Linked DNA regions of Daphnia pulex. The protein of the gene in region 4 purifies or fractionates together with the protein of the main gene of each other region. This does not show direct contact. Links are inferred from orthologs where the notes say so. Each region holds a gene or a part of one and is shown on either strand. Other genes may lie near its edges.

Evidence for each region.
Region 1: the proteins of metastasis-associated protein MTA3-like (region 4) and chromodomain-helicase-DNA-binding protein Mi-2 homolog fractionate together in Drosophila melanogaster (co-fractionation; 3 studies listed by BioGRID, with this or other methods). This does not show direct contact. The link is inferred for Daphnia pulex from reciprocal best matches to the Drosophila melanogaster genes MTA1-like and Mi-2.
Region 2: the proteins of metastasis-associated protein MTA3-like (region 4) and chromatin assembly factor 1 p55 subunit purify together in Drosophila melanogaster (affinity purification with western blotting; 4 studies listed by BioGRID, with this or other methods). This does not show direct contact. The link is inferred for Daphnia pulex from reciprocal best matches to the Drosophila melanogaster genes MTA1-like and Caf1-55.
Region 3: the proteins of metastasis-associated protein MTA3-like (region 4) and histone deacetylase 1-like fractionate together in Drosophila melanogaster (co-fractionation; 3 studies listed by BioGRID, with this or other methods). This does not show direct contact. The link is inferred for Daphnia pulex from reciprocal best matches to the Drosophila melanogaster genes MTA1-like and HDAC1.

What each region holds. Positions count from the first base shown.
Region 1 is NC_060018.1:5,943,711-5,950,338, reverse strand, and holds the end of chromodomain-helicase-DNA-binding protein Mi-2 homolog, read right to left. Parts: coding exon 5,633-6,628; intron 5,574-5,632; coding exon 5,088-5,573; intron 5,021-5,087; coding exon 4,790-5,020; intron 4,551-4,789; coding exon 4,459-4,550; intron 4,403-4,458; coding exon 3,204-4,402; intron 3,131-3,203; coding exon 2,700-3,130; 3' UTR 2,286-2,699; downstream 1-2,285. Other genes in the region: phenylalanine--tRNA ligase alpha subunit A-like, read left to right, coding at 2,834-2,883. UniProt on the Drosophila melanogaster protein: ATP-dependent chromatin-remodeling factor which acts in nucleosome-remodeling by catalyzing ATP-dependent nucleosome mobilization. Involved in regulating transcription. Plays a vital role in development.
Region 2 is NC_060023.1:6,452,103-6,460,019, reverse strand, and holds chromatin assembly factor 1 p55 subunit, read left to right. Parts: upstream 1-1,358; 5' UTR 1,359-1,496; coding exon 1,497-1,515; intron 1,516-1,577; coding exon 1,578-1,725; intron 1,726-1,794; coding exon 1,795-1,940; intron 1,941-2,000; coding exon 2,001-2,205; intron 2,206-2,278; coding exon 2,279-2,651; intron 2,652-2,721; coding exon 2,722-2,934; intron 2,935-2,998; coding exon 2,999-3,178; 3' UTR 3,179-3,338; downstream 3,339-7,917. Other genes in the region: apolipoprotein D-like, read left to right, coding at 5,313-5,450, 5,517-5,650, 5,729-5,823, 5,900-5,995, 6,061-6,203; uncharacterized protein LOC124197707, read right to left, coding at 7,705-7,917. UniProt on the Drosophila melanogaster protein: Core histone-binding subunit that may target chromatin assembly factors, chromatin remodeling factors and histone deacetylases to their histone substrates in a manner that is regulated by nucleosomal DNA.
Region 3 is NC_060024.1:1,147,542-1,155,742, forward strand, and holds histone deacetylase 1-like, read left to right. Parts: upstream 1-3,466; 5' UTR 3,467-3,606; coding exon 3,607-3,658; intron 3,659-4,151; coding exon 4,152-4,180; intron 4,181-4,245; coding exon 4,246-4,329; intron 4,330-4,390; coding exon 4,391-4,508; intron 4,509-4,572; coding exon 4,573-4,748; intron 4,749-4,820; coding exon 4,821-5,000; intron 5,001-5,058; coding exon 5,059-5,260; intron 5,261-5,316; coding exon 5,317-5,566; intron 5,567-5,623; coding exon 5,624-5,682; intron 5,683-5,764; coding exon 5,765-5,918; intron 5,919-5,982; coding exon 5,983-6,209; intron 6,210-6,268; coding exon 6,269-6,354; 3' UTR 6,355-6,536; downstream 6,537-8,201. UniProt on the Drosophila melanogaster protein: Catalyzes the deacetylation of lysine residues on the N-terminal part of the core histones (H2A, H2B, H3 and H4).
Region 4 is NC_060020.1:5,941,530-5,949,859, forward strand, and holds metastasis-associated protein MTA3-like, read left to right. Parts: upstream 1-3,330; 5' UTR 3,331-3,502; coding exon 3,503-3,530; intron 3,531-3,655; coding exon 3,656-3,723; intron 3,724-3,783; coding exon 3,784-3,877; intron 3,878-3,938; coding exon 3,939-4,360; intron 4,361-4,426; coding exon 4,427-4,544; intron 4,545-4,604; coding exon 4,605-4,807; intron 4,808-4,875; coding exon 4,876-5,023; intron 5,024-5,093; coding exon 5,094-5,268; intron 5,269-5,339; coding exon 5,340-5,452; intron 5,453-5,515; coding exon 5,516-5,754; intron 5,755-5,909; coding exon 5,910-5,931; intron 5,932-5,996; coding exon 5,997-6,110; intron 6,111-6,178; coding exon 6,179-6,415; intron 6,416-6,487; coding exon 6,488-6,574; intron 6,575-6,661; coding exon 6,662-7,139; intron 7,140-7,290; coding exon 7,291-7,375; 3' UTR 7,376-7,601; downstream 7,602-8,330. Other genes in the region: probable tubulin polyglutamylase ttll-15, read left to right, coding at 1-63, 160-335, 396-520, 597-813, 893-1,003; uridine diphosphate glucose pyrophosphatase NUDT22-like, read left to right, coding at 2,031-2,302, 2,369-2,573.

The DNA.
Region 1 (6,628 bases), on a different chromosome or scaffold from region 4:
GGTTTCTTTGACGGTAGGAATCTGTAATAATAATAATTCATATGAAAATCTCCACTACTACATGTTGTATGTTTACATGATAAGCACATTAAAAATAATTAATCGGTTACCTTTCTCATAGACCCTCGACCTGCAGGTGGTTCTCCAGTCGCAACTTGTTTAAATCAGCACACAATTTATCAGTCTTGGATTACAGCATTCTCTCGTCGGTTTTCAGTTTCACCAATGGAGTCCATGATCAGTAGCGAAGGATCACCCTGTAAGCAGAATGAACATTTATTTGGATGACAATAATATTCAAAGAAGATTGTAGCGACAAAAAGCAATACCTCAAATCAAGAGGGACTGTGTAAGGAGCTAAATAGGGAGATTCAAGGGTAGCAGCCATTGGGTTAGCAAAAAGGGACCTTGTTGACTTTCTTGAAAGAACATTACTTTTCATAAAGTCTGTCATGCAAATTTAGGAACCTTCAGGTTGCTGTAAATGAAAAAAAAAAAAAACATTTAAAAAAGAAGTAAAAGAATAATTAAACAGTTTTAAGTATATACTCACGCAATATTTTTCTCGCCAAAATCATCATCTCGTCCAAGGAAACGCCATCACACATCGCGAACAGCCAAAAATCTAAGAGTAAAACTCCATGCTGTGTTGAGAGCAGGGTAGTAGAAGCCGGTTGGGTAGTCGAATGATGCTGGTCGCCTAAATGATGTTCATGTAGGCCGCATCTTCTCGGTCATTACCTAAATGGCTAAATCAAGCTAAACAAAATGTAAACAAAATTTAAATTCAGTGACATGACAATGAAGTTACACAGAATAACACCAATCAGCTTTCCTAAGCAATCCAGAAGATGGAATGAGTCAAGTTCAATGACAAAGTGAATGATCCGCATTGAACGTGTGATTGCCTTATTTTGGAGGGATAACCATATGCCCCACATTTGGTCTTATAGGCAACATCTAAATAAGAAACCAAACAATCGTTAAAATTGCTATTAGTATGACAACTTCTCTAAATTCAATGTAAACACAACTTACAATGATGATAGCATGATCGCAATATTTAACCTCTTTGTTTGTTGTTGACAAATAGGGAGATTCATGGGTAGCAGCCAACGGGTTAGCAAATAAGAAATCTTGTTGACTGTAAGTCCTTTTCTTGGAAGGACATAACTTCTCATATAGTCAGTCATGCCAATTTAGAAACCTGTAAATAAAACCAAAACAGCCGATAATTAAGATTAATCCTAATAAAACATGAGAAGAGTATATGTTTTAGCATGAAATAAAGCTAGTGTTGGTTTTCACCTGTATCATTTTGATTACACAGTAGAATACAATGAGTTTGAACAAAATAGTTGACGGTGGGTTGCACGACTTTCACGTTTACTCTGACCACAGACTACGAATGTAAAGACTAAAGACTGTAAAGAGTAAAGACGGAAATCCCCTATAACTCTCTCTAGGCGATACTTGAGCTTGCCGCTAGGGCGCAGGTCAATAGAATTGGAGAATGTTTTTTAGGTATTTTCCCCGTTTCCCTACTGATTACGTGCTTCACAAACACGGCCCACACGGGATTTGCGAATGTTCTTTTAGGTGGTGCAATAATAATGGTGCAATTTTAAAAAAATTGCACCATTATTATCCATTGCCCTTCACGATGACCCGTGAATTATTTCATAATTTTTGAAGAATTTGAGGGTTAGTTTTAAAAAAAAAAACTACACTAACCCTCGAGTTCTTTAAATTATACGTGAACCTTAGCCGACGTTCACTTATACACTCGAACGTGGGCCATCACATCACGAATGTGGGCAATGGCGGCCTGCCGGCCACGATCATCAACCTTGCTTCCTTGCTGGCCTGAATGTCCGGCACCCTTCTAGGCAGTATTATAATCTCTGCTCATGAAGAAACGAACTCACTGTCACACAATACATCCTGTGATACGAAAGATTTGACGTTACCTGCGATTTAAGATTCTCGTGTTTCCATTGTTTACAAACCACACATTCGGAAATGAGTTGATCTTCAAAAACTAAAAAGGGAAATCATATACGTAATAATACTTTCTTGTTTTACATACTGATTACACCTGATTTTCCAAGAATACCGACTGCGCAGGAAATCTGACGGATATTTGAATTCCTTGTATCACAATCACATAACCCAGTAGAGCCACGAGTTTCCTGAAATGAACAACAGCAACGTAAGGCAATATTTGTTTGTTTGTGTGTGGATTTAAACAACACTTCATCCTGTTCCTACAAAGACAATTAAAGTTGAAGGTTCATTATTAGTTTTATTCTTACGATCCGCAGATATGAAGGTTATCATTCAAGGAAGTCAACGCTTTGCCAACACAAATGGAACAATCATGTGAAACAGAGAACATGGTTTGAATGAGTCCGGACACAATGGCAAAATTAGAAAAAAAATTTAATGAAGAGAATTATAGTCATAAATACAGTGAAAGAAGCGGCGATTACGAGAATCAAATCAAAAGACGTTGGGAGGGAGGGAGGGAGGTATCGAGCAGAAAAAGACAGCACAGTCGTCAGGGTAGAGGGCAGGAATGTTTTGAGCAGCCAATTAACTCCTTAATGAAAAATGGAAGAAAAAGGGGGAGGGGGAGGTGAAGTGAGAAAGTGTGTTATGCAAGTTATACTATAAAAAAAAGCTATCTGAAGAAATGTCTATTTGCTATCAGAGCCAGGAGGAGAAGTTCCAGGGAACGCTGCCTGAGGGACGCCGGCTGCGGCTGCCGCAGCAGCGGCGGCAGCAGCTGCAGTCATTGCCAAATTGGATGTCGGAGTCTGACCGGGGAGAGTAAACTGTGGCCGGAAATTGGCCAGATTTAGCCCAGTGAAAGGCATCTGACCGCCCGTCAAGCCAGGTGGAAAGTGGTTCCCAAAAGCAGCTTGTGCTTGCTGTTGGGCGGCTTGTTGGCTTGCAGAGGTAGCGAGACGAGACAAAATTGATCGTTCGGACATCTGAAGACGTTGCGCTACAGGTGGAATTCTAGCCAAAGTAGCAGGTAGACGCGACACATCGGATTTCATGTCCGAGAGAAGCTCTTCCAATTGATTCAGAACCTTATGCAATACCGCGTTGGCTGGCTTGTTACCTAAGAAGAAAAAAACAAAAATTCGGTAGAAAAAAGTCACAGGTGGAAATTTGAACAGAAAAACCATTTTTACCTGCAAGACTTTCCTTAGAGAGATGTTGATGGGATTCGGCCAGGCATTCCACTTCGGCGAAGCGAGCATTAAGTGCCATGGCAGGATGGGTTGAATCCTGCGTCAAATTGAGGTAGGCTGCTCTTCGCAATTGCTCTTCAATAACCAAAGCCTGTTCTAATAGCTTGAAGCGTCGGGCCAAAAACTTATTTTTTATTTCCAAGAAATTGCCTTTACCGACGTCCATCTTGAAGGGTTCGTTGATAATGGCATAACGAACGTCGTTCTGAATATCTTGCCATCTCCCATAACCGTGTGTAACGATGCCGGCTAAGAGCCAATAGTCATGGCGCCGATGCCAAATTTCGTACTCTCTGCCTGGAACAGCTGCTTTTTCTTCGTTCTGCCACAAGGTGTGAAGTTCGGTGAAGCCTCCATCTGCTATGTTAAACATGAATTTACGCTTGCTACGCTCTTCTTTAGCAAGTTCTTTATCCTTGGCTTTTTCTTCTGCTGACTTTTCTTCTTTCACAGAGACGATTTTTTCCACCTCCACTTCGGAAGAATCAATTTTTTCTTCAGCCTTGGTCTCTTTTTTGGCCTTTTCCTCGCTCTTGATCTCCTTTTTGCTTTCATCTTCCACTTTGATGGTCTTCGAATTTTCTTCATCAACTTCCATAGTTTCGGAAGGTTCTGATTTAGATTTTTCCTCCTCTTTCTTTTCCTTTTCGTCTACGTGATTTGATTTCTCATCGTTTTCTTTCTTAATATCGACCTCCTTTTTATCATCTGCCTCTGCTTTGTCTTCTCCGTCTCTTTTCTTGGTTTCTTCATTCGTGGTTGTAGTAGGAGATGGACAAGCTGTAGATGGCGCTGAGACGGCCGGGGTAGCAGAACTGCTTTCGCCCGATGGAGCCTGAGAAGTTGTTACTTTATCTTCAATGGCTTTGTCCTTGGCAGCGACCAGCTCAGCAGCCCGAGCCGCAACTTCAGGCATACTGTAAAGTCCGTTAATATGTTCGAATTCATGCACCTTTTTGCGAATCAGTGACATGACACCGATTCGCGTCAAAACGTGTTGTCGGTTTAGTCCCTCTCGTGGTACTCCGTCAGCAAAAGTTTCGGCATTATCAGCACCAGGCTCACAAAGATGACGCATGAAGAGTGAAACGTAAGCCTTGAAATTGCGTTCAGACTTGCCCCGCAAATCACGTACCAACCTATCACAATAACAACGTTAATATGGCTAATTATCTGAATATGAAAAGACACTTGCCATTGAGTGTTGAAAGCATCTTGAGGAGGCATTCCGTAGCGCATGACAGCATTCAAGAAAGCTTTGCGTTGTCGAGCATTGAACCCCAAGACCTAATATTTAAAAAAAAAGTTTAACGGCATGATCACAAAAAAATTAGCAAATCATGATAAAATGAAGGCGAGAGCCTTTAGCGTCAATTACAACTCAAATAAAACACTCCATGATCTCGCCAAATTATTTTCTGTAGCCCTCAAAATACCTCGGCAGCTGTGGTCCTTCAACGCCACCGTATTTTTTAAACTTTTGAATGGGCATTTACAAAAAGACATGAAAAAAGTTAGCAATTTACCTCCATGTTGCCACCAACTCTGGCAAGAAGAGGAGGTAAAGGACGATCTTTTTCATCGCGACGCTCGGTGCCTTTGCGGCGGCGACCACGGCCAGGCTCATCTCCCCGATCATCAAAGTCATCATCTTCTTTATCATCGTCGGATGCTCCCGAAAAATCAGAGTTGTAGTCCGATACGTTTTCTTGCCAAGAAGTATCGTCACGTCCCTCAACACCGTCATTGTAGTTAACCTAACGTTCCAAGAAAAAAAAATTACGTAAAGGAAACGTGTCATTTAAATGGCTGAAAAATAGTCACCTGTTTTCGTACACGCTTTCCTTTACCAAGAGATCTAGCAAGATCCTCTTGTTGTTGTTCGTAGTGATGACGGAGAAGCTTCTCCCAGTAAGCAGGGTCGGTATTTTCTGCTTCTTGCTTAATAATTTCAGTATCCTGATCCTCTTCATCATCTCCTTCTTTCGTGACGTAGGATGCCACCTTGAAAGAGGATAAGTAATCGTTGGCCCAACTCTCTTTTTGCTCTATGCCCTCATTTGAGCGATCAACTAGCTGATTGATGGCTTCATCGTCATAATGGATGGCTTCATCCTCCTTGCCTTCTTCTTCTTTGAAAAGTTCTTCCGTACCAAACCTAAGGATATCATCAAGTTCTTGTTTGGAAAATGTTCCCTTGGCTCCCATTCCAGGGCGGACGACCAAATGAGTCAACATCATCTTCTTCTTTGCCACCTGTGTTACTCTTTCTTCGACTGAATTACGAGTAACGAATCGATAGATCATGACCTAAATACAAAACAAAATAATGAAATGACATTTTTAAACTAAAGAACTATTATCAGTACCTTGTTGGCTTGTCCAATACGATGGGCTCGTGAAAAAGCCTGAATATCGTTGTGGGGATTCCAATCGGAATCGTAGATTACGACAGTATCAGCCGTCGCCAAGTTAATACCCAGACCACCTGCTCGTGTGGACAGCAAAAACACAAACTGCGGGGCTCCGGGAGCATTGAAGCGATCGATGGCATCCTGACGCAAAGTACCGGTAATTCCACCATCAATGCGCTCATATTTGTACTGCTCTCCCTCTAGAAAGTCTTCTAAAATGTCCAACATTTTTGTCATCTGTGAGAAAATGAGGACACGATGCCCCTGTTCTTTCAATACTCGAAGCATTTTTGAGAGCAAGACAAGCTTTCCTGAGGCTTTCACCAAAGCGGTGGTCTCGTACATGCCATTTTGTAAACAAGGTGCTTCTTGAGATGCAACTGGGAAAAGGTATGGATGGTTGCAACACTTCTTCAAGTCCATCATAATGTTGAGCAACGAGACTTGTTGACCGCCAGATCGGGAATTGAGGGCTTCAAAGTTACGTGTCAGAACATACTTGTAGTACTTCTTCTGCATAGGCGACAATTCAACTCGAACGATGAATTCGGATTTCGTTGGCATGTTCTTCAAGACGTCGGCTTTAAGACGACGCAACATGTGCGGGCCGAGCATATCGTGCAGGCGTTTCACTTGCTCTTCCTTTGCTAGATCAGCAAACTCGTTTGTGAAGGCCAACAGATCGTTAAATTTATCTGGGCACAGAAAATTGAGCAAGTGAAACAACTCCTCTAAATTGTTTTGCAACGGCGTTCCAGTCAGAAGAAGTTTGTAGCGAAGATTATAGCTGTTGAGGATGCGGAAAAATTTGGACTGATTGTTTTTCAAGCGATGAGCTTCGTCGACGACTAAAACAGCCCATTCGATTGAGTTCAAGAGAGCAGCGTCGATCGATACCAATTCGTAGCTGGTCAAAAGAACATGGAACTTGACGGAATTCGTCCGAATTTT
Region 2 (7,917 bases), on a different chromosome or scaffold from region 4:
TCATTGCGCTAAAAACAACCGCTTTTATCAGTTTCTTAAATAGTTTTTCCTTAGCTGCAGCAACCAAGACCAAAACCAAAATTTTTGTTTATCCAACTTTTGGTTGAACCATATTTGTTTCTTCTTTTTTTAACATAACTCTGATGCTTTAACGTGGTTAATATGGTGTATGGGTGTCTTTCGTGCAAAAGCTTATATCGTACCATGCTGGATGAATGATGATGATGAATATATTGGGTCCGATCGAATCTACAATGAATTATTGTTCAAATGAACGGAAGGCCAACAGCTAACTTAAATTGTGGAATATCTCTTTTGAAATGAGAACAGAAGTTGACTTCAATTTTGGACCATTGTTATGATAATATCTCAACCGGCATTTCCATCCATTATTACTCCTCATATTCCTCATACTCCTCATACTACACGTAATGCTCGGCGAAATATATATATATATATATTTCATTTGGTTGAAGCACTACGTTATTAGCCTTTAGTGAATGTTGTGATAGCAGAAAATTTTAATCCAATAAATACGTTATGAAGGAATGGAAAGAAATGACGGTGTTTTCAAATCATTAATTTTTCTTAGACGCAGTAAAAAATAATCCTATTAACGCTGTACAACTTCTATACTGAACTCAATTAAATTTATGGCAAAAAATACACTGTGCAATGAAAGAGAATTTTGAAGTGGTTTACTCGTCTTGCTATCTTCTAGTTCAAATATCGGTTTGATTGTCTGATGACGGAAAATATTACATTGTTTAACGGATGGCCGGAGGAGGCTTTCTTCATGATTTACTGTGAACCATTTCCTAGAGCGCCAATCGCCTTTACATTGTAACAGGTAGATCACTTTAACCTTGACAACAAAGGTGAAGCACCTTCAAATTTCCTTCCATTGTTTTGGCATCTAGCGCTAAACCACTATGAAATTAATTATGCGCAACAGAAAAAGCTTGAGAAAAAGTTAAAATCATATTGGGCATCGGAAAACCATTAAAATTTTGTGGAATTAAGCATTGATATATTTTTGAAAGCAAATATTTTTTTCTAGAAAAAATAACTGTATTCCTATAACAATATAACTGTTTTTATGCCTTACACTGCCTTACATGAAGATTTTTTCCTAGACCTACCCACAGGCATACAAATCTCTCAACACCCATGGCCTACCTAAATATTGTTTTTAATTATTACTAATTAAATTTAATTTTTAAATCAGACTTTTGAAGTAGGCAAATTCTTTTAATTTGACAACAATTTTATTATTTTCAAGATTTTTTTCTTTAAAGACATGACCATGCCATCTATGAACGGCAAAATAAACTATTGAAGTAGTTTCGACTTTTTCCAAAGTGGCACCACTGGAATTGCTTTCGTTTTTGCCGCCATTTAACAAAGCAGCACGCTCAAAAGTCTCTGCTAACCGAATCTATTGCTTGACAGGTTCCAGCCGGTTCATCATTAGTAAAGGACTTGATTGACTAACGATGGCAGATAAAGATGGAGGTATCTGTTGAAATCATTCTTTGTTATTGGATGACAGTGAAATTTAATCCAATCTTTTTTAGAGCCCTTTGATGAAGCAGTGGAAGAACGCGTCATCAACGAGGAATACAAAATTTGGAAGAAAAATACTCCATTTTTGTATGATTTGGTTATGACACATGCTCTGGAATGGCCTTCACTTACAGCTCAATGGCTTCCTGATGTTACAAGGTAAATTACTGAGAACAAAGGTGTTTTATTGTTTCTTTCTAACTGTTGAATGTTTCTTTTCTCCGTTAGGCCTGAAGGCAAAGACTACTCAGTGCATCGTCTCATCCTTGGTACTCACACTAGCGATGAACAAAATCACCTCTTGATTGCATCTGTCCAGCTTCCTAATGAGGATGCTCAGTTTGATGCTTCACATTATGACAATGATAAAGGAGGTAGTCATTTAACTTGATCAAATCTGTTGCACTATTGTTTTAATGCTTCATCTCTATCAGAGTTTGGAGGCTTTGGATCAGTGAGTGGTAAGATTGAAATTGAGATCAAGATCAACCATGAAGGAGAAGTCAACAGGGCTCGCTACATGCCCCAGAATCCTTGTGTGATTGCCACTAAAACACCTTCATCTGACGTCTTGGTCTTTGACTACACAAAACATCCTTCTCGCCCTGATCCTAGTGGAGAGTGCCACCCTGATTTACGGTGAGTCATTTTTTATTCAAATGATTTCTTATGACCTAAACTTGTTACTCACAACTACATTATCTTTTTTTAGTCTGAGAGGACACCAGAAGGAAGGTTACGGTTTGTCTTGGAATCCAAACCTTAATGGTCACTTGCTGTCAGCATCTGATGACCACACCATTTGCTTGTGGGATATTAACGCATCGCCGAGAGAGAATCGTGTTCTCGACGCCAAAACCGTATTCACTGGCCACACAGCAGTTGTAGAAGATGTCGCTTGGCACTTGCTTCACGAGTCCTTGTTTGGTTCCGTTGCCGATGATCAGAAGCTTATGATTTGGGATACTCGCAGCAATAACACCAGCCGGCCCTCCCATACCGTGGATGCTCATACGGCTGAAGTGAACTGTCTGTCATTCAATCCTTACTCCGAATTTATTTTAGCTACCGGATCTGCAGACAAAGTATTCATTTAATATTAAAATCTACTATTTATTCTACTCAACTAAACATGTCTCCAAATTGTATTTCTAGACTGTAGCTCTTTGGGATTTGAGAAATCTTAAACTCAAATTACATTCGTTCGAGTCGCACAAGGATGAAATCTTTCAAGTCCAATGGTCACCGCATAATGAGACTATTTTGGCTTCGTCTGGCACCGACCGACGCTTGCATGTCTGGGACTTGTCCAAAATTGGAGAAGAACAATCCACCGAAGATGCCGAAGATGGCCCTCCAGAATTGTTGGTAAGTTGAAATATTGATGCGATTGTTTGATTCGGATGCTGTTTAATTATTGAATTCTCAACAGTTCATTCACGGTGGTCATACGGCCAAGATCTCTGATTTCTCCTGGAACCCGAATGAGCCCTGGGTCATCTGCTCCGTCTCTGAGGATAACATCATGCAAGTTTGGCAAATGGCTGAAAATATTTACAACGACGAGGAGCCTGAGACGCCAGCCTCAGAACTGGAAACCCCTACTAATTAATGCATTTCCAGTGTATCGCCCTATACCCTATTTCTCATCGTTTGATTCTTTACTGTCCCACGTACACGCTCATCTTTTTTTTAACATTCAAATCTTCGAATTTGGCCCTTACATCGCTTGGAGATCCAAGTTTGTGTATTCAATAAATAGCTTTCCGCGATTTGGTTCAATTTGAATTATTCTAATTACTGCCGTTAATTAGGTTACTAGTCCATTTGCAGTCCATTAAGTGGGTTGTGATGAAATTTCAATAAATGGTTGAAAGACGCTCTTATTCAGAACAAAATTCGACTCTTGATCGCCTGACCCTATGACGCAATCATTAGATTTCGAAAGCTAAATAACAGTAAATTGCCTAATTCCCGACTGTTCTAATTATTCGTGATTTTGTATTTGTACATGTTCGACTGTTTTCTTTGAACTCGGATTTCTAATCTGTGATGTTTGGATTTAGAAGCCAACAGCATATCCGTCTTGACCGTGAATCAACATTGTTCGGCTCACACTGGCCCGCCAGCAAGCAGCAGGTAAACATCTATCGTCTTCAGCTGGGTGTGGGCATCATGCGGCAGTAAAAAAGTTCCTCTCCTACCCGTGAATAAGTGTAGAGGACCGATGTTATTTATTATTCAACCTTGAAAACGCAATTAAAGCGCTTGAGGTTGAGCATGACGAAGACTCCAGCAGCATCCTCAACACCGTGTTCGGCCAAGGTCCGTCTGGATGGTTGGACCCCGTATTGGGATTGAGAAAACGCCAACATTTGTTATGTTTATGGATCGCGAAATGTGAAAATCGATTCCACATTTTCATAATGTTTTTGTTTGTTTGTTTTTTTCGCTTTTTTGTCAGTTGAAATATGCCTTGCAAAAACGTGACGCATCGGTTTTTCAAGGGCAGTTACCCAAACGCCCAAAACAAAGGCGCGCAATATTTTTTTCCAATATCCGCAAACGACTGAAATAAAATTCATTGAAAATACCGGCATCGTTAATCTCTTCTGATTTTCAATTTTAAAAAATCGATTTTGTATTTTTTTGTTTCAATGAAACCTCATCATAAAATTATTTTTACGCATTGAAAAGCCACGGGTTGCTTAACTGTTAATAAAGGTATTTACCGAATTTTCCAGACAATACATTGTATAATTAATTTCGGTTTTAGTCTCTAACACGGAAATTGCGTTTCAAGTCGGTGCTGGGCCTATCGGTGCTGGTTGTCAAGTCACTTTCCTGACTGAATAGATCCATTAATCACCTAATCGAAAGAGCGCTGGCCATCGTTGAGATATGCATTTTCGGTTGGAGGAAGCCAACATCAAAGAGATGGATGATGCTTATTTTCAATCGGGGTATACAAGTAAAATAACTCACGACAGAGCTGTTTACCCGATCTTTGGCCTTGCGGGACCTTGATCGAGCGCGTTGACGCGTGGTGTTACGTACGGCTCGCGGTGCTGTACTGGGACTTGGTCTCTTAACCCCAGGGTTTAATTTCCACTTTCAAGGTTGAATCATAATAAACACGAATTTCGTTTTTTCCCTCCCCAAAAAAGCTGCATGTGGCATTCATGGATGCCCATTTCCAGCCGAATCAACCTTTCGCGCTCAGCGGGGAGGCAGCAATAACAGCTCAGCTCGACCTCCGAAGCGGGCGTGACGCGGCCACAAAGAACGAGACGGATTGCAGCAGCACGTTGAAAAATCTGTGAAGCAAGTGGCTGGACGATCGTGCCTTTCGATAGCATTCGAGAAGCAGGAATATTTTTCTTCTTCTTCTTCAGCATGCTGGAATTGATTATATCCAGCGCTATAAGAAACGAGAAGGGTAGGGTCTCGAAGAGTTGACCTGCGTGAAACAATTACGCCCCACTGAGGAGAGTCTACCACCACCACACTCGTATCTTCTCTATCCTCCCCTCCAAAAAACAAGCAGCGGGGTTCTTTGTTGGCACATCGGTTACTAACCCAGTGCTAGGAGCGTTCTTTTTTGTTATCACGTTATACAAGGTGCGCAAGGCGTGAATTTCTTGTCTTAGTGTATAAAAGATACGCGCAGCTCGTCGTTGTGGATTAGACCGCCGGTGTTTGTCATCCGAAGAACACACGCCAGGACAAAAACATCAAACATCACAATGGCAAAGAACCTTAGTGCGCTGATGCTGCTGGCTGCTGTACTGACAGTCGAAATACCGTCCTTCGTTTTGGGCCAGATTGTAATTCCCGGTGATTGTCCCAAATACCCAACGCAGCCCAGCTTTAATCCAGCTCAGGTATAATATTAATTTTGTAATTTCTACCGTGTGTTGTGGTCGTTACGCAATTTTTACGTGCGCTAGTTTATTACTACTCGGTGGTACGAGATCAGCCGGTATCCGTCAACTTTCGAGGACGACACCAGGTGCTCGCTGATTGACATCAGACCGTCCAAACAGGGAGCTCTCAAGATGAGTTTCAAAGGAATTAGCAATATGTAAGTTTTGAGAATCGACTGAGACTGGCATCCCAAAATGATGTTCAACCGAAATATCTTATTTAACATTTTTGACAGAGACAACGCTGTTACGATTGCAGCGGGCAATGCTTACTTTGACTACGGAGAATTGAGCAAATTTCTAGTTCAGATGCCTATCGTCAGTTGGAACGGTAAGACAAAGAAATTCTGAAATTATTAATAAAGCATTTCTAGATTAATCAATTGTAAACAAAATTTCTCGTGCAGCAACCGTGGACATTCGATTCTGGATTATCGCTACTGACTACACTAATTATGCTCTAGCCTGGAGTTGCGATCCCCTTTGCACTGGATATCGGCGAGGTAATCCCCTCATTTGATAATAATTAATTCAATGGCTAATTTTCTGAATCTATAATTCAATGCAGAGCAATTGTGGCTTTTGGGTAAGCAGAAAACGCTATCAGACACCGTCATGAATACAGTCACCTCCAGGTTCTTTACCAACGGGCCTTTTAAGGCGGGCAATCTGGTTCCGGTTGTTCAGAAAGACTGTCCATCCATCGTATAGAGTGAAGCAAAACGCGTCAAAATTTACGGAATGAGCAATTAACGATCAAAGAAAAGAATATTGCTGCTCGTCACGACATTCAAAACAATTCACAATCATTCACTTTTGTAACGAGTAATGACTTTTGACTTTATTCGATCACTTTTAACATTCTTTTATTACTTTGTGGTTGTGGAGGGTGACATTTCATAATTAAGCGTATAAGGTGTTCTTTTCTCCTTTGTAGACGGTATACGATGCAACAAATACAGGATTTTTATAACGGTAATCAATTCATTTCGTTTTTGGTTCTTAATTACTTTTGTAAATATTGTGTAAACATAAATTAACGGAGGAAAACATGGCGCCCCTTTTCACTTATTACTGCGTCAACTGAACAAAGAGTCAAAGACGCATATATGTTGTATAGGGGAAAACCTTTTCCCCTAAATGTTTCCCCTAAAGGTATATAAAGTGTGCAGGTAATTTCCACCAGAAACGTTTTATGGCACTGGTTTATGGCTGGCTGTCGCTCTATGGATATGCACCATACCCGAAGTTTTTTTTCTATCCACTACGATATCTCCTTAATACACGAAACCAATATAGTATTACATTTTAAACGGTTTTCAAATGTCTGAGAAAAGAACCAGTATACATCACAGCGACCTGAGACACAATGCTCGTAAACTTTCGTGATATGAACCGATTTCCGTTTCTCGGTAAAATCAATAACAGTCTGAACTTGAACGCGTATAAGGCTATCGTGATTTATTCAACAGACGCCGTTCATCAAGTAGACAATGATAGGGTCCGTTAACGACCTTAATTTTCTAATGAATCAGTCGTCGAGCATCGACCGATTAACCTGGCAGTTAGTAAGGTTCAATGTATTGTGACATCAACAGCAGTGCAGCGCTTGTCGACTTTGGGATGCCGTTTACTTCTTGCATAATATGTCTGCGTATGGTCGTTTTCCATTAAATGTCTTTCTTTATGACGCAATTAAAGCATTATATCGTGAATAATTCATGGGAGATTTAAAACCAGACAGGCAGACACCCAAATCACCAGAAAATTGAAGGAGAAACCGTTTAATTACTAAATCACGCTACCACTGATTATTAACTGCTGTGACTCAGTCATATAATAATGAACACTATTATTTATTTAACTAAATTCTCATGTATACATTTTGTGTGGTAAGGCAATAACAACAAACCAAAATCCTTGTGGATCCAGGTTTGAAAAGAAAATTGCATTTAAGTTAAAAATAAGAACATGAAACAAAATAGGGTAAAACACAATTTTCTAAACTGATTTTTATCAATCAGGTTTTGCGGCCTTTTACTAGAAAGAAAAAGTCCAGAATAGGCGACTTTATAGGCTGAATGATGTTAGAAATGAATGCATAAATAATAAAAACATTATTCTAAGGAATATAACTAAAAAGCAAATGCAATTACTTTCGCTTCTAAAATAGAAAAAGAGAGTGAGACAAAGTCTTAACTGTCTAAAATATCTAACACAAGGCGAAACCACTTGGCATGCACGACAATTGCGCTGGCCCGCTCAGATTAATAGTTTTCTTGATCGTGGTCGTGGAAAAGGAGAAGGACGTCGACGTCGATGTAACAGTCACTAATAGACTCAAGGCACGATTTTGGCGTCCGTTGTTCTTGTCGATATTTACGAATTGACGCTGTTCCTCTTCGATATTTGTCTGAGAAGAAGT
Region 3 (8,201 bases), on a different chromosome or scaffold from region 4:
CGTTTCGGATCTAAATCTTCCCGTTTCGGCACCGTTTTCTTGGATCCTTCAAACCAATCAGATTTGAACCGTATTCTGTAATGATTTTACTCAATTAGCTACAATTTGATTGATTTGATTTTCCTACAATTAGTGAAACTTGAATAGAATTGTGAGTAAGGAGAAGAAGCTTTTTTAAATCTCTAGTTGCTGATTTGACTAGAAGTGATAAAATGTATTAGCATTTATGCTACTGCTACTACAGCAGTTCTATATTCTGTGCGGCACTGCAGGTTGAAAAAAAATGAAATAAAGCTGATGCATAATGTAAGAAAGGAATAAGGAGAGAAAGAAAAACATACAAAATACTGAAACGTAAGCTTCAAATACTATGGCACGCACATGACAATTCTGAGATTTATACGGCCAAGCTCTTAACTGAATGCGCTTATATGTATACAAAAATGAACACAACTAGGTATACAAAAAATATAGGTGATGATAGAGAGTGTGAACTGGAGGCTGAATAGATTTGTACAACAATACATTGATTTATTGAGACTCGAGGCTGTATTTTAATTGTGAGAATCTCATTTTTTCTTTAGGCGTATTGTTTATAATACCCAATGCTACACGATGGAATGCATGGTATGATGCTGTTCGCCACGTAAATAAGATTGCCAAAAAATGGAAAAAAAAAGACTTGAAAGTTGTGACTACTTGAAAGTTCCCTGCCTGACAGCTACAGATTACTTTATTCATTAATGATTATGTTACTGTGATGCAGCCCATTGCATTTGGATTGGACATTCTACAGGGAGAGAAGGATGTTACTTCCGGAAACCTACTACCTTCCATAGTAGATATTGGGAATAGTTTGAATAATCTCAAGAATCGAGATGAAAACTCTAGCCATCCCCCTATTAGTATTTCACTCCCATTAGTTGATGCCTTGTTAGAAAGATTGAAAAAAAGATTTGACATCTTTCTTAGGCAAGAGAATTTTCAGTTGTCGGCTCACTACACCCAAAATTTAAATTGATTTGGTTAGGGACAAGCGAAAAAGATACCAAACTGAAGAAACAAATCATCAGCAAGATTGAAATCCATCTAACATATTTAGACGTCTCTGATTCTACTAAGGCAACAACCCCTGATGACCCTACTGATATTTATTCTGGGTTAATGTAAAATAGCAAGGGGAATTCTATTTTCCAACAAAAAGAAGGTTGAGCTCACTCGGTTTCTTGAAGCTAAGCCAATATACAATCTTTTCTTGATTACTTCCAAAATATAAAAAACTTGTTTTGGAAATTTAATGATAGCATTGCATCTTACGCTGTAACGGAAAGATTTTTTTCTTTGTTTGGGCGTGTGTTAACTTCTACTAGAACACTTCTTAGTGATACGATTTTAATTTTCTTGTTTTTCTTAAGTCAAATATCTGTCCTTTTTCTACAATAACTTAAATTAAATAAGTCATAATAATTGGGCATCATCTGGCAAACCGACCCCTTCAAAATCCGTTTCCCCTTGTCGAGAAAAACCACCGCAAGGGGATTTCGAACAAAGACTAGAGGGGAACCCTCCCCTTGGATCGGTTTTGGATTCGAAGGGGTGGGGAAACGACTTGAAATGACCGCTGAAATGTAGGAATTGATTCAAAAGCGGATTGACTTTGAATCAATACAAATGTCTTTCATGCAACAATAAAATAAAGAAACGCGTAGTCCCATGAGGCCCGTATGATGCTGGGGCGACGGGTTTTTTGGGGGAGCAGAAGCATGACAGAAGTAGGTGCGTGGTTGGTCTCAGCAGGCCCGTGGTTAGGGTATAGGGGGACAACACTTACCAGGACGCAGCCAAACAGACGAATTTCCCGTAGGGATTCTGTAGGGGAGACCGGACCCATGTTGGACACTGTTCCAAGTTGGACAGTGTCTTAAAATATAGTAAAAATTGCTTTAAAATTCTAGATTTCACATTGTTCTAGATGTGATGATGCTAGATCCTGTGTAGTTTAATTAATTTCCCGAGAGTAGAACGGGAGTTATAGGAGGAAGAAAAAACACGATAAATTATTGCAAAATTTTTCGCCCGAATTATTGATCTTGCTCCAAGTTTGTTTGAGTAAAAAAATTTTTAAACAAATGTTTTTAAATTATTTATTATTGGAAGAACTATCATACAAGGTTTTTAAAATAATTTAAAGACATTAATTTCCACCTTTTCGAACCCCGTCTAACTTGGTACAGGCCCCTGTCTAATTTCACCCCGGCTCGGTAAAAAACACCGAAAAATGGAAATCAATGTAAATTCTTAAATTTTAAAGTTACACATTTTAAAAAAATCAAGGGGGTGGAGGCAAGGCTAAAAAATGACCTTAGCCAAAAAAAAATTCTTTTGCCTAAGGGGATCGGGAGATATGCGGGAAAAACCGCGACTGTCCAAGAGGGGTCCGGTCTCCCCTACAGGTTTTTTGGCATACGGGAGGATTAGTTCCAATTTCGCCAATAGATGGCTTCGATTACTTTTTCGACAGTAGATGGTGGGTCGGTCGAATTTCACCAATTTTAACTGCGCGCGTTGAAACTGGCATCTAGGCTCTAGCGACTAAAAGTAAACTGTCATCTGCCTCTTTCTCTTCTTCTTCTAGATTTTTTTATATCTTCCCGTCCATCGATGACTGGAAAGAGATTCAGCTCTTTTCAGACCGACCAGGAAAGAATAACATCTGTAATAGCCTACATCAGCCAAAAATTTTTATTTTTATTTTTTGTCCGCTTGGCGCAACCTAAGACTGGTGGCTTTTTCAAATCTTATTTAGAAAAGAAACCAAAACGAAGATTTCGACATTTTTCCCCCTGCCCCTTCTCGGAAGACGAATTCGACTGCGCTGCTCCTTCCGGCGAGCCCATCTCCTTATCTCTGAAAACGTCTAACGGAGTTGATAGATCGTTAGATCTCCAGCTTAATGGCTCTGGTTTCTAGTTCCATACTCCTTAGTCCCTAACCTAATCCCTAATTTCTAAATTTATTATTTACTAGAATATGTTTATTTCAAATACCTTCGTATTTGGAAATTGATAATATAAGATTTAAAAAATATAACTGCGTAATTTTTTCATTTTGAAAATCACTTGTTTCGTGTGGGTTTTCCAAAAAAATCAAATTCCAATATATTTATTAAACATTATGTTTCCCAGAAGGGTTCCGACTTCTGAAAACTGATTATTACATATTCAATCCTATCAACAACATTCATGGAAAAATTGCTTCTTGCAATTAGTTTGACGTGATACTTTACCTTGACTCCTCCACCAGGGCAACAGATAATTATCCATTACTCTGCCTCCACTTATTATCATCATTTTTATAGTTTTGTAAGGACTCGACTCGAATCGAAGGAGATTCGAGATTTTTTGAGAGCTGGCAAATATGTTTCCTCAAATTCGCGTTTGAGGCTTTGGGCTATCGTAGTTAGTTTGTAGATTTGGCAACACTGTAAATGTAAGCATTCGCATTCGACGCAGCGAAAGCAATTGATGCTGGTGTCTTTTCTTTTCAGTGTAACTGTCGAAAAGTAAAAATAATTTTAATAAAGAATTGTGATTTTCAATTTCGAAAATGACTACTCAACCAAGTCACAGCAGAAAGCGAGTTTGCTACTATTATGACAGTAAGTTAGAAAAATAATTGTATCATGTATAATTAACGTTTCATGTCGCGTGTTTGACTGCCGGCGTCCTTTTTTAAATTAATTATTTCAGTGGTCATATTCTATTTATTTTATAAATTCCCAAAGATACTTGATTTTTGCTAAATTTATATACCTATCTATTGTGACATTTTGATGTACAAAATTTATGTGGAAGTAACAATATTTGGCAAGTGGGACGTCATTTATGCACAGTAGTATCACAAAGAATTATAGATGTTTGAAGACTGAAGAGCACATAGTATTAAAAAAGAAAGATATGTGGCTATATTATCATTTAAATTGGGTTTTATTTTTGAATTGCTTCAAAATTTTATTAAGATTTTCATGTCAAATTTGTCGATGAGGTTGTCGGGGGTATAATTGACGTCCTACTTGGTGGGTGGGTTGGCATTTTTATGGTGACTTTTCATTTTAACTCTTAAATTTGTAATTCCTTTTTTTATTAACCTAGGTGACATCGGGAATTTTTATTATGGACAGGTAATAATATTGAACACATTTATGTTAATGAAACTGTAATTAATAATAAATTTTTGAAATTGAAGGGACATCCCATGAAACCTCATCGCATACGCATGACCCACAACTTGCTCTTGAATTATGGGCTATACCGTAAAATGGAAATCTATGTAAAAATTCAAGAAGCTAGATGATAATTGCCACAGTTTAATTGAATTTATTTTTTGTTAGCGACCACACAAAGCCACAGCTGAAGAAATGACCAAGTTCCACAGTGATGATTACATTCGATTTCTTCGAAGCATCAGACCTGACAATATGACAGAATACAATAAACAGATGCAGAGATGTAAGATGTGTTTACAATTTGATCAATTTGAAATTGTGAATTAATTTATTTGTTTGTTTTTTAGTTAATGTGGGTGAAGACTGTCCTGTTTTTGATGGGCTCTACGAATTTTGTCAATTATCTGCTGGAGGTTCTGTAGCTGGAGCTGTGAAGCTCAACAAGCAAGCAACTGAGATAGCTGTGAACTGGGCTGGGGGATTACATCATGCCAAAAAGTCTGAGGCATCAGGATTCTGCTATGTAAATGAATAACTTAATAACAGTTTTTGGATATAACTTACTAACTAATGTTCATCTCTTTCCATATTTTAGGTAAATGACATAGTGTTGGCAATTTTAGAGCTTCTGAAATACCACCAACGTGTTTTGTATATTGACATTGATATTCATCATGGTGATGGAGTGGAAGAAGCCTTTTACACTACTGATCGTGTAATGACTGTTTCATTTCACAAATATGGAGAATATTTTCCTGGAACTGGAGATCTCAGAGTAAGAAGTTTTGAACTAAATTTTGAATAAGAAACTGTTATTTATCCTTTTGTTGTAGGACATTGGTGCAGGCAAAGGAAAATATTATGCCGTAAATTTCCCCCTGAGAGATGGAATAGATGATGAAAGCTATGAGCAAATCTTCGTACCTATCATGTCAAAAGTGATGGAAACTTATCAGCCGAGTGCAGTGGTTCTCCAATGCGGTGCCGATAGTTTGTCTGGTGATCGTTTGGGATGCTTTAATCTTACTTTGAAAGGTATGTGTTCGGAACTATTGTTTTTAGTATACATGTTATTATCAAGTTGTCTTTAGGTCACGCAAAATGTGTTGATTTTGTTAAGAAACATAATCTGCCTTTACTGCTGCTTGGAGGTGGTGGTTACACTATTCGAAATGTTGCCCGTTGTTGGACTTACGAGACCGCAGTGGCACTGGGAAATGACATTGCAAATGAACTCCCTTACAACGATTATTTTGAATATTTTGGTCCCGATTTTAAATTGCACATTAGTCCGTCTAACATGGCAAATCAAAATACTCCGGAATATTTAGATAAAATCAAGTAAGTTTTTAGTGTTTTATTCAAAGAATTATATGTTGAGTGACATGTTTTTCTTAGAACTCGTCTTTTCGAAAACCTCCGCATGTTACCTCATGCTCCTGGAGTCCAAATGCAAGGTACTTGCATTAAATTTAATTCTTCAATTGTATTTATTATTTCATTGCATTGCGTTTAACTGATCCAAAATTATTCTGACAGCAATTCCCGAGGATGCCATTAACGAAGATTCCGACGAAGAAGATAAATCTAATCCCGATGAACGTATATCTATACGAGCATCAGATAAAAGGATTGCACCAGACAATGAATACAGTGATTCCGAAGATGAAGGGGATTCCCGCCGAGATCAAAGGTCTGAATTCATTAATAAATCGTGCAATTTTTCATTTTTTCAATCATTATTCTCTACTATATAGATCATTTAAAGGAGCAAATCGCAAAAGACCAAGAACCGAAACAGCTGAGGGTGCTGCAGAGGTCAAAAAGGAAGAAAAGGAGGACAAAGAAGTGAATGGCGAGAATAAGGAAGGTACTTCAAAAGAGACTGTAAAGGATTCGGACAAGAAAAATGAGACAACACTGAAGTCTAGTGGTGAATCTTCTAGTGAAGGTAGTGCTTTGTCCATGGCGAATGAAATAAAAGGTTAGTGTTCACGTAATCGTGGTTATCTCAGATTTCTTACCAATTATATGTATTTTCAGAACCCGAAGAAGATAAATCTACATCGCATGAATTAAGCTCCCCTGTTCCGGTTTGCGCCGATAGCAGTAAAGGAGAAAAAGTTTGAAAATACCAATTAGGGTTTTATTTCATTTTCGCTAATTTTACACTGATGGTGATTCTTCGAGATTCATTCACATCCAATTTTCTACGTGTATCTTAATTAGAATGTAAACTCCGGCTCCTATCACCAACTGCATACCCTCAATCGGGTTCTCAGTCTTCAATACATTTTTACTAAGTTTTTCATTTTAGTTTGGTCTTTTTTCTACATCCTAAGATACGCACTTCACTTATGTTGAGTGCATACTTTAAAACTGGAATACTGATTCAACAACATGTAGCGTAACAGAAGCTTTAATAGGCAAGAAGCGTTTATTTTTAAGAATGATTTTGTAGGGAGAATCAGCGATCAGTAAGCCCAACCTAGTTGGTGGAACGTTGGAATACCGTAGGAAAAGTTTGAGGTTTTACTAGGATTAAGGTTGAAGTTAATAAATATTAAATACTTGAATTGGGATAGTGCATATTTTAATTTCAAAACTATGATAAATTTTACTATTCTGGTGTTAGGTTACATAGGTTAGATTACATATGTTAGGTTACAGTACTAGTCACTAGTATTGTTATCTAGTTATCTTATTTCTTAAATCATTATGTTTTTATAGGCCTCAATAATATAAAAAAATAATTCTAAAGGTTTCATCGATATGGATAACCGATAAGTTAAGGCAACTGGTGGTACCTCTAGTGCTTCGTTATTGTTTCAGTCACGGCTCCCAGTTATTAATTTGCAAATTATATTGTGATAATTTTTAAGTTCGTCGGTTTCGTAAAAAGTGGTTTTTAAAGTGGTGATTAAAAGTCCAACTGAACGGAAAGTAATGTATGTGAACGTGTTATATGAATTGCTTTCGTGTTTGTTGCGTTTAAACCGCGTGGTTTCCTGAGTTTTGATTTCCTCTTCTAGGTCAAGTTCGTTCATCCGATTTCTCCAGTACTTAATCCAATCTGGCATGAAGTCATTTTACAAAGATTCTTTCGATTGAGTACCTTGAGATCAATGTCTTTTCCAAAAAGATTTCCAATCAGCGGCATAAAGAGGGTTAGCCTCTGACCGTTGCTCCTTGAACTGCCGCACACAATCCAGCAGTCTCTCTTCCGGTAATTCCGGACACTATTTAGTTCGTAGCTGTGGTATAGGTTTCCAGCGCATCGAGCATCCCCAAGTGTTTTTGGATCTTCTCGGTGAAACGGGAGAAAGAAATCCGAAGTTGAATTTCAGATTTACTTCTGTTTTAGTTATATCAGAATATAATTTGGCATTTGTTCGGCAATTTTGCAATCGGCGAGTGCTGGTCTCAACGGAACTGCACTAAATAAGGCATTCCAATTTGTATCTGAACACGATGATTGGTAAAATAAACGGCAATACTTAACATGACAATCATTATTACCTTGAAGCGTATCTAAATCCTGATTTTCAGTTGGAATATTGTGAAACTCGTGGAATTCATGCAGCTGGATGTGTCTTACTCGTTCATTTCTTTTTTATTTCTTCCGTCACCCTTACTCCCTATACTTGGATACTTGTCAGCTTGAACACCATGTTCCCGCTTTTAAGCTCCTGTTGAACTCATCGATAAAATACTTGGTTAGCTGATACCTTTTGCTGGAAATCTCGAACATACGACTCATGACTCTGAGAATACGAATTCTGCTGGTAAAACTAATACCTAAAACTATGACTACACAATTCTCCAGACCGCGTTGTTAAGCTTGCCCCCTTGCAGCTAGTAGATTGCGTCGTTGAAACTTGGAAGTGCACACCTATCCAGCTGAAGCAGAATGTATCAAGCGCTGTGACTGGTTAATATGCAATCCAATTAATTTTGTATCACTTAAAAAAATGGG
Region 4 (8,330 bases):
CGTATTATTCAGGTTTGGGATTCGGTATGAAGGAGTCTTTTAATGCCTACCTTCTCAGCATAGGTACGCTTGTACGGCTTGGCAAGGACATTAAAAAAAAAAATTTCTTGTTTCTCAATGAATTTATACATTTTTAAAAATGAATTTATCTGATAAAAGGTAAAGATCCTAAAATCATTTGGCAGCAAATTGATGATGCGATTCGAACAATGCTGTTGAGACGAGAATTATCCTTGGCATCGGCAAGTTCCAAATTTGCGTCATCTCGTAATTTTTTCGAAATGATTCGAGTGGATTTCGTTGTGGACGAAGATCTCAACGTCTTCATTATGGAAGTATGACTTTAGAAACCGTGAATAATTATTGATTATTAAATTTACAAATTAATATTCCAGGCGAACATGTCACCAAATTTGTCGTCTCAACACTTCCCTCCAAACAGGCTAATGTATGAACAGGTCATCTTCAATGTATTGAAACTGATCGGTATTATTCCTTCTGGATATCCAAATTCAGTCGGGTAAAAAAATAGCTTTGACATTTTCTTATTTCTTCATGGTTTTTAATGTCTTAACTAAATAATTTTTGGGAATTAGAACTGACGATGAACTACTATCGCAGCCCGAAGTGGCGTTTAAAGATTTAGTCGTATTTCCCGAGCGGTGTGCGGCCTCCCGTTGTGCCAATTGTTCCAGTCTTGAATGTAAGCTTTGCAAGCCTTGTCTGACTGAATCATTGAAATCTGATTTGACAGAGGCCTTCAAAGAACACACCCGTCGACATGTATGCCGTCGCGTTGTTCCACCGTCGTTGGTAAGCAGTGCTTATTAGGTCAATCAATTGTTATTTTTGAAATGAGTTCTCTTAAAATTGTCCCGTTGTCATTATTTAGATGCCGGAAGAAATAGAGGAAGGTGTGGACGTTAAAGGTCTAACCGAGATTAACCAACTAATGCATTCCTGGTTTCATGGCAAGTGTCTCTTAGATAGTTCTTGGTGTTAAAATGTAAGGCTAAATTTCAACGTCGTTATAGCCATCTACTGTCCATTTTTACCGTGGTGTAGCAGTTTGATATACTGAATAGATACATTATATGGCTATGCAAATAAAGAAAATTCCTGGTGAATCCTTCCATCCGTCGCAAATCCGTGATCTTACTATTCCTGAAAGATACGATTTCACTTTTCAGCACTCGAGGCGCTAGTTAATTTATTTGTTGTAAAACAGGGTCCTCTACCGAGATTTTATGTAATCATTAGGAACTAACTTCTGTCAACGTCAACGAAATTTGGTAAACCATGGTAAACAATAAACTTATTTGTTAGCGTTTCGTCAAAAAAATGTTTTGACTGAATATTCATGTAAGATTTAATGGTCTTGTGTTCGTGCTTGACTTGCATACATTTTTACTCTCCAATCAATGTTTAGGTACGTAGTTTTTGTAATTTAAGTAATAAACACAGGAAAATAATAATGTCATTCTGCGCTTGTTTTTGAATAGATCATCATTGCTCTATCAAATCGAATAGAACACACATCATCACTGTAAGCACCGGGAGATTTTAGTTGTTTTTAAAAAACCGTTTCTATGGATGAGTTCACTTTCAAAACACAAAATGGGACAGAAGGAGTTGAAATTATCAACTTGAGTTTCAGCAAAATACCCATCTTAAGAAGTCAAACCCAAATACATTTTTCTAGCAGATTTAACAACAAATCTGATATTTGGATAGAAAAATCTATTAAGTTGATATGGAATGAAAAATGTAAAAATAATGATAGGTTATACAATCAATCAAAATTTCGATTTGAAGGTATAACAATTGATGATGATAACCAAGTTGTTTTTAATCTGGGACTAACAACTTACATGGAGTTAATAGGAACAAATTGCAATCCATTTGGGAAGGAGTTAGTTGCGTACGGAACTCGGTGTTTTAACAATAAGCGGTCGTGCTTAGCTGACCCATTGGGTGTAGGATCTCTGTTGTTAACTTCAGATGGCAAATTTCTGTTCTTGAAACGTGCTATGTGGACTGGTGAGGACAAAGGCAAACTAGATAGGCCTGGTGGTCACCCTGAACCAGATAATGTGTCAACATCTATACAGTCTTGGACAGAAGAAGAATGCACTGCTCCAGAAAACTCGCTTCGAATTCGAGAAGAGGTTTTCGACTCGGTTAAATGTGAAATTCGCGATGAAGTTAATTTACCACTGGAATCATTAAAGGACCCTCTACTGTTAGGAGTAGTTCGAAGCCTCGAACGACTTGGGCGGCCGAGTGCTGAATTTCTTGTGCTGTGAGTGCATTTTTAAGAGTTAATTGTCTCACATTTTAAAATAAAATTCTGATCATATATTTGCAGTTGCTCTTTGACATCTAAAGAAGTAGAAAATCTCTATTTGAAGAGTTGTCAAGCAGAAGCTGACGAATCGGTAGATATTGTGTTTCTACCGGAAGAGAAGGTTCGTGGATTGGATTTGGATCAGAGTATCTGGCACAGCCTTACTGATGCAGCTTGTGGAGCAATAAAACTCTACAGTCAATGTTACTCGAGCTGCCCAAGTTAGCCGTTATTTGGAACCTGAGTGAAACTGTTTATTTTAAGAATTATGAACCAATCTCAGTTCATGTTACACACATATATATTATAAATAATAAATACATTTTGAAGTACCCGACAACATTTATTAGATTATTCTTACTATTTGCAGGGGTATGCTATTTGGGTGAAAAACGCACTGCACTATAGTGCAGGCATATATGCCTGCTTAGTGCTAACACCACCTACAACAGCAGGTGCGCAATTGAAATCTTTAATTTTAACTTAAAACGGCCAGAGGGAAAGAGAGATAACTGCGCAAATAAATTAAAGCAATAAAATGAAACCAGTGTTTATCTTATTTTTATTTTATCTTTAAGCTCTCCGAAATTCAGAAGAATCTAAAGAGATACTTCAGAACGTACCCGGTTTTGAGTTCAAATATCTAAATTCGAGTAAGCACATTTATAAAATGCATTGTGCTGTTTTAATCATATCTCAGCTACCTGCACTGTCAATTCCTCGAAAAATTTAAATTCCGGTAAAAAAAATAGAAATATATTAAATTCCTTTTGCTATTTTTACCAATGATTTGTCGTTATAAAAATTTTGATTTCAAGCCATACAAGAACAATTATTTTTCAAGTTACTAGGAAATAACGTTAAAAATCTAGGATACATTTCATTTCTTAACAATCTGCAATCTGGAGCGCGAGCGCGCTTGGCGCTTGTGAAAAATCGAGTTTGGTTTGTTTGGTTGGTTCAGAGAAGGGTTCAGCGTCCATCTAAGATCCGTAGTGCAATTAAACGCCACCCCTAGCGGCAGCTTGGTGCAACTGAAGACACTTGTACCAAGTTGCTTGTACGACCAGAGTTTTTCACTATTCATGATAATTTGACTATATTAAGCACTTTTTGTTGTGAATTACACTAAGTGACGAAGTTTTCTACTGGAAAATGACAACTAATATGTATCGAGTGGGGGGTAAGTGTCTTTATCATATAAGAAATGCCAATGACATACGCCGGGTAACATGTCAAGACTCGGCGCGATGAACAACATTGGTTCGACCGAGTGATATTTATTTATTAATGTGTTGTTAATTTCAGACTATGTCTACTTTGAGACTGCACCCTCCATGCCTTATCAAATTCGAAGGATTGAAGAGTTAAATAAGGTAGGAAGTCAGTGTAATCTTCTTTCACCTGTCAGATAGTATTATTTTGTGTCTATTTAGACATCAAGCGGTAATGTGGAAGCCAAAGTTATGTGCTATTTTCGACGAAGGGACATACCTGCTACCCTGCTTTCCCTTGCTGATAAACATCAAGGTGAGCTTATTAGTTTAACAAATTTAAATAATTACTTGATCTCAAAATGAATTTTTATTAGAATTTGTTGATGGTGGAGTAAATGAAAATAATGGTAATGGTACAGCTAAAACCGATCCAATCAGCTCTCCTGCAAAAGCTGTCACATCACCTACATCAAATGCTGATGGTGCATCTGCTGATCCTGATCCTGCAGTCAAGATGGAAACAGAATCAGATGGTGACAATACTTCAAGCAAAAAGGAAGAAGAAAAAACTACCTCTGTAGTTGAAATTAAAACAGAGAAAGAAGCAGTTGAAAAGGTTGAAGAGAAAGAGCCAGTAGATGAAGAGTTGAATTTGAAACAAAAAAATCAGCTTAATCAAAGAGAATTGTTCCTTTCAAAACAAGTTGAAATTCTTCCAGCAACAAATATTCGTGGAAAATGCAGTGTTACCCTCCTTAATGAGACTGAATCATTTTCGTCTTACATTGACAAAGAGGTATTATACTATTATTAATTCTCATTATGATCAACCACTTTCTAAGTTCCAACAATTAAATTTTAGGACGCATTTTTTTATACATTGGTGTACGATCCAGTGCAGCGAACTCTGCTAGCTGATCGTGGAGAAATCCGCGTTGGTTCCCGGTTTCAGGCAGAGATCACCCCTCTTATGAAAGAAGGTCAATAACTTTACCTGGTGATTATATTCGTAAGAAATACTAACATATATGTCAATACAGGTACTACAGACGGTCGCAACATGGAAGAATTAGAAGTCTTAACGTGGACCCCTGAACACGGGTTATCAGATCGTGAAATAGATCAGTTCCTGGTTGTTGCGAGATCAGTGGGAACATTCGCCCGAGCATTAGATTGTTCTTCTTCTGTCAAACAACCCAGCTTACACATGAGTGCAGCTGCTGCTTCAAGAGATATAACTTTGGTATGTGAACTATGAACCATTTTGAAATTCAAATATTCTTTGCATCTTAATTTTTTTTTAAATTTTAGTTCCATGCCATGGATGCACTACACCAGTCAGAATATGATTTAGGCAAAGCAACGTGCGCTCTCATTCCCCCAACTGGTCCTATTTTATGTCGTGATCAAATGGAAGAGTGGTCCGCCTCTGAAGCAAATCTTTTTGAAGAAGCAATGGGTAATATCGGATTTCTGATGTGTTCCGATTATTTAGTTTACTCACTATCATTTATTTGGTGTTATCACAGAGAAATACGGAAAAGATTTTAATGATGTTCGCCAAGATTTTTTGAATTGGAAAGTCCCGTCCAGCTTAATCGAATACTATTATTTATGGAAAACTACTGATCGCTACGTTCAACAAAAAAGAGTGAAGGCTGTCGAAGCTGAATCAAAACTAAAACAAGTCTACATACCTACATAGTAAGCAATACCAGTACCATACAAATAATTTATTGCATTCGAAACATCTTTTTTGTTTGAATTATTTTTAGTAACAAACCTCATCCCGCTGCAATTGGTCCACCTCTTCCGCAATCATCGAAGAACGGAGCTCACCAAATCGAAATTGGTTTGGGTCCGGGCAAATTTTGTGAATGTTGCGCAGGTAACTCCAATTACAATCGTTTTCGGTCCGGCTTTTTAACTGTTAACACATTTCGTTTTCCAGTTGCAACTTCGGTTCAATGGTACGCATGGAGTCCAAATAATACTGCCTCGTCTGCCGTTCCACCACAAAGCAGATTGTGCCAATCGTGTTGGTCCTATTGGAAAAAGTACGGGGATCTCACCGTATCGAATAAGGCAGCCTTGCCTGCTTCATCCGACGAAGAGTCCAAGAACTTGAGTGGTGGTCCTGAAGCCCTGACATCACGTCCACATCGTTGCACAACTCAAGGATGTGGAAAGGTAGGCCAGCTTCTAAAAAAATGGAGATTTTAGTTCTCCCTTCGAAGTTATACATAACATTTTTGTGTGAATTGGGGAATTATTTGATCTAATATGCACAATTTTTCTTTGGCTCGTGGTCTACCGTTTCCTTCGATTATCCTCGTTCATCGTAGACTCGAACTGCTTTTTATTTGGGTAACATTGATTCTTAATTATAAATTGATAATAGATCTAATTGTTTTCTTTAAAATTCTATACAGCTGTAACACCTACAACGCGGCTGGCTCGAAGGTTTTCTGCTCACTTGTTGCGACCTCGTCATGCTGCACGATTCCCTTTCCTTCCTATCAGCGCTGCAGCGATCCGACAGGATTGTAAGTTAATCTCAGAGTCCCCGAAAGAAAGCTTTTGGTGAAACTATTGGTTTCTTTTAACCTTGTAGTCCAAATGCGTATGGCTCGAAAGTCACCTGCAGAAGTGCAATCTTGGATGTTGCGTGCCCAGAAACCGCTGGCACCGATTCGTCCTCCCAAACGTATACGCGTCGCCGACTTGACTTTCCGATTGGCTCGTGGTCAGATCCTTCCCACTACGGCTACCTGGCTCATTCTGCCTGATCGTTCCTTGCCCAAACCCAAGCTGATGCGTGAAGCTTTTCCAAAGCCTCCAAAAGCCGCCGGTAGAATGATTTAAACAAAACAAATTTGTAATTTGTTTCATAAACTAACTTGTTGGTTTGGCTCCAACGTAGACGGTAGCCTCATTTACGATAAGATCGTCTTACCGCAGCGTGACGGAGACCGACTTAAAAGGCGTCTGGATGACTCACCTTTGGAAGGTAAGTTTTCCAATTTCATTAAGCTGAAACATTTATGAGGACACAGTTATTTTCAATTTCATGTGTTTTCTTAATTTTTGTCTTAAGGTCCTCCCTTCAAACGATCTGCTCGTGAGAGTCCCAGCAATGTTTCTCCACTCTCCGTTTTGGCTCCACTGTCTGGTCTGGCCATGGGAATGAGCGGAAGTCCAACGCCCATCAACGCATCTCCATTTCTACCCAACTTATCTAGCATTTCATCTCTACCAATATCTTCATTGCGACCTAATATTCCGTCAGAGCTCTATGTCTCTGCTTTGACTAATTCTAGCGGTCTTGCTCCCTTATTGCCTGGAACTAAGGGCACTCCGTCACCGTCTTCCGCTATCTCGCCGACAGTAAAGCCCAGTTTGCTTCCGTCCGCTCCGCAGTCACTTACCGCACCCAACCTACTGGCCGGAAGAGGTGCTCGCAGCCATGGATCACGCGGCGGGCTTCATGGGCATTCGGGCGGAAGAATCAAGCAGTTGCCCACATGGATGGATGCACCTGATGACCTCTTTTTCCATTCGACTCAAGTTACCAAGTGAGTGAGACGTAGCCCGATAGTAAGTTGAATAGCCGAGATAACCCCTCCGAGCTCTAGTCATCTAGCATCTGTCACCTGGCGTTTGGGATTTTTATCGCTTGTCTGCATAGTCTGGTTAAAATTTACATTTTCTTCTTGTCGATTACAGGAAACTTCGACGCCAGTTGGCCACACAAGAACTCCGGCGGGCTGCACGCAAACCGTGGCGACCATTGACCCCTCGTAAAGCCTGAACAACCCCCTTCGTCTCCCTCCCTCCCACCCCCACCCCCTTTTTTTGCTGTAATGCATCTCCCTTATCACCCTACATTTGCCTGCCGTTTTCAATTGTTGTAATCTCTTTCCCCTCCCTGATGAATCAAATGGGTCGGCCTCTTTACGAAAACTGGCGTCATGATATACTCGACACAAACTTCTTTTTAACAAATTGCTTCATCATTACATGTAGCATCATCATTACATTCGTGTCTTTTTCTTTTCGTTGCAGATTTGTTGACGTTTTTATGGAAATTGAAAATTCCTGACTGACGTTGCCTCCTGTTATCTTCAATCCGTTTTTTATCGTTTATTTCGGAAATCTTTTCCAGTATGGGGCTGATGGGTGTGTCCATCGTAAAGATAAGATGATGGCCGTAGTGGAAGCTGGGACCCTTTATCAGTAGTGTGGTTGCCGCTTAGCAGTGGTGGTCCTGGCATTGGTAGGTTTACGGTGGTTTGTTTATTGGCGGAGCACACACTTGTCCGAGCAAAAGACCTAAGCTTCTTTCCATTCGCCTGTCAGTCGTTTTCAAGAGTTGAAATATAGCTGCAATGAATTCCTCCCATTAAAATGCTGAGGCAAGGGGGGTTTGGCCCGTTGTGGCATTTGTTTCGGTCGGCTCGGGAGCGATGAACTGAGGACACACACTCCAAGTGCGTAATGCGATAGGATTTTTCGGCTTCGTGCATGGGTTAGGCATGGTTGGATGAAGATAAACATGCGAATAGATCAATGTCCTGCTGTCATTCCTATTGAAACAGTTATTTATCAGCATTTCATTGAGGATCTGGTTATCGTTTTTGCCATATCGTGAATAGTGAGCTGTTGGTTTAAATCACAAACTCATTGAAACTGAGATTATATCGTCGCTTGTCACGCGTGCCTCTGTTTGAGACACGCCGCTTTCCCGTTGAAGCCAACCAAGTAGA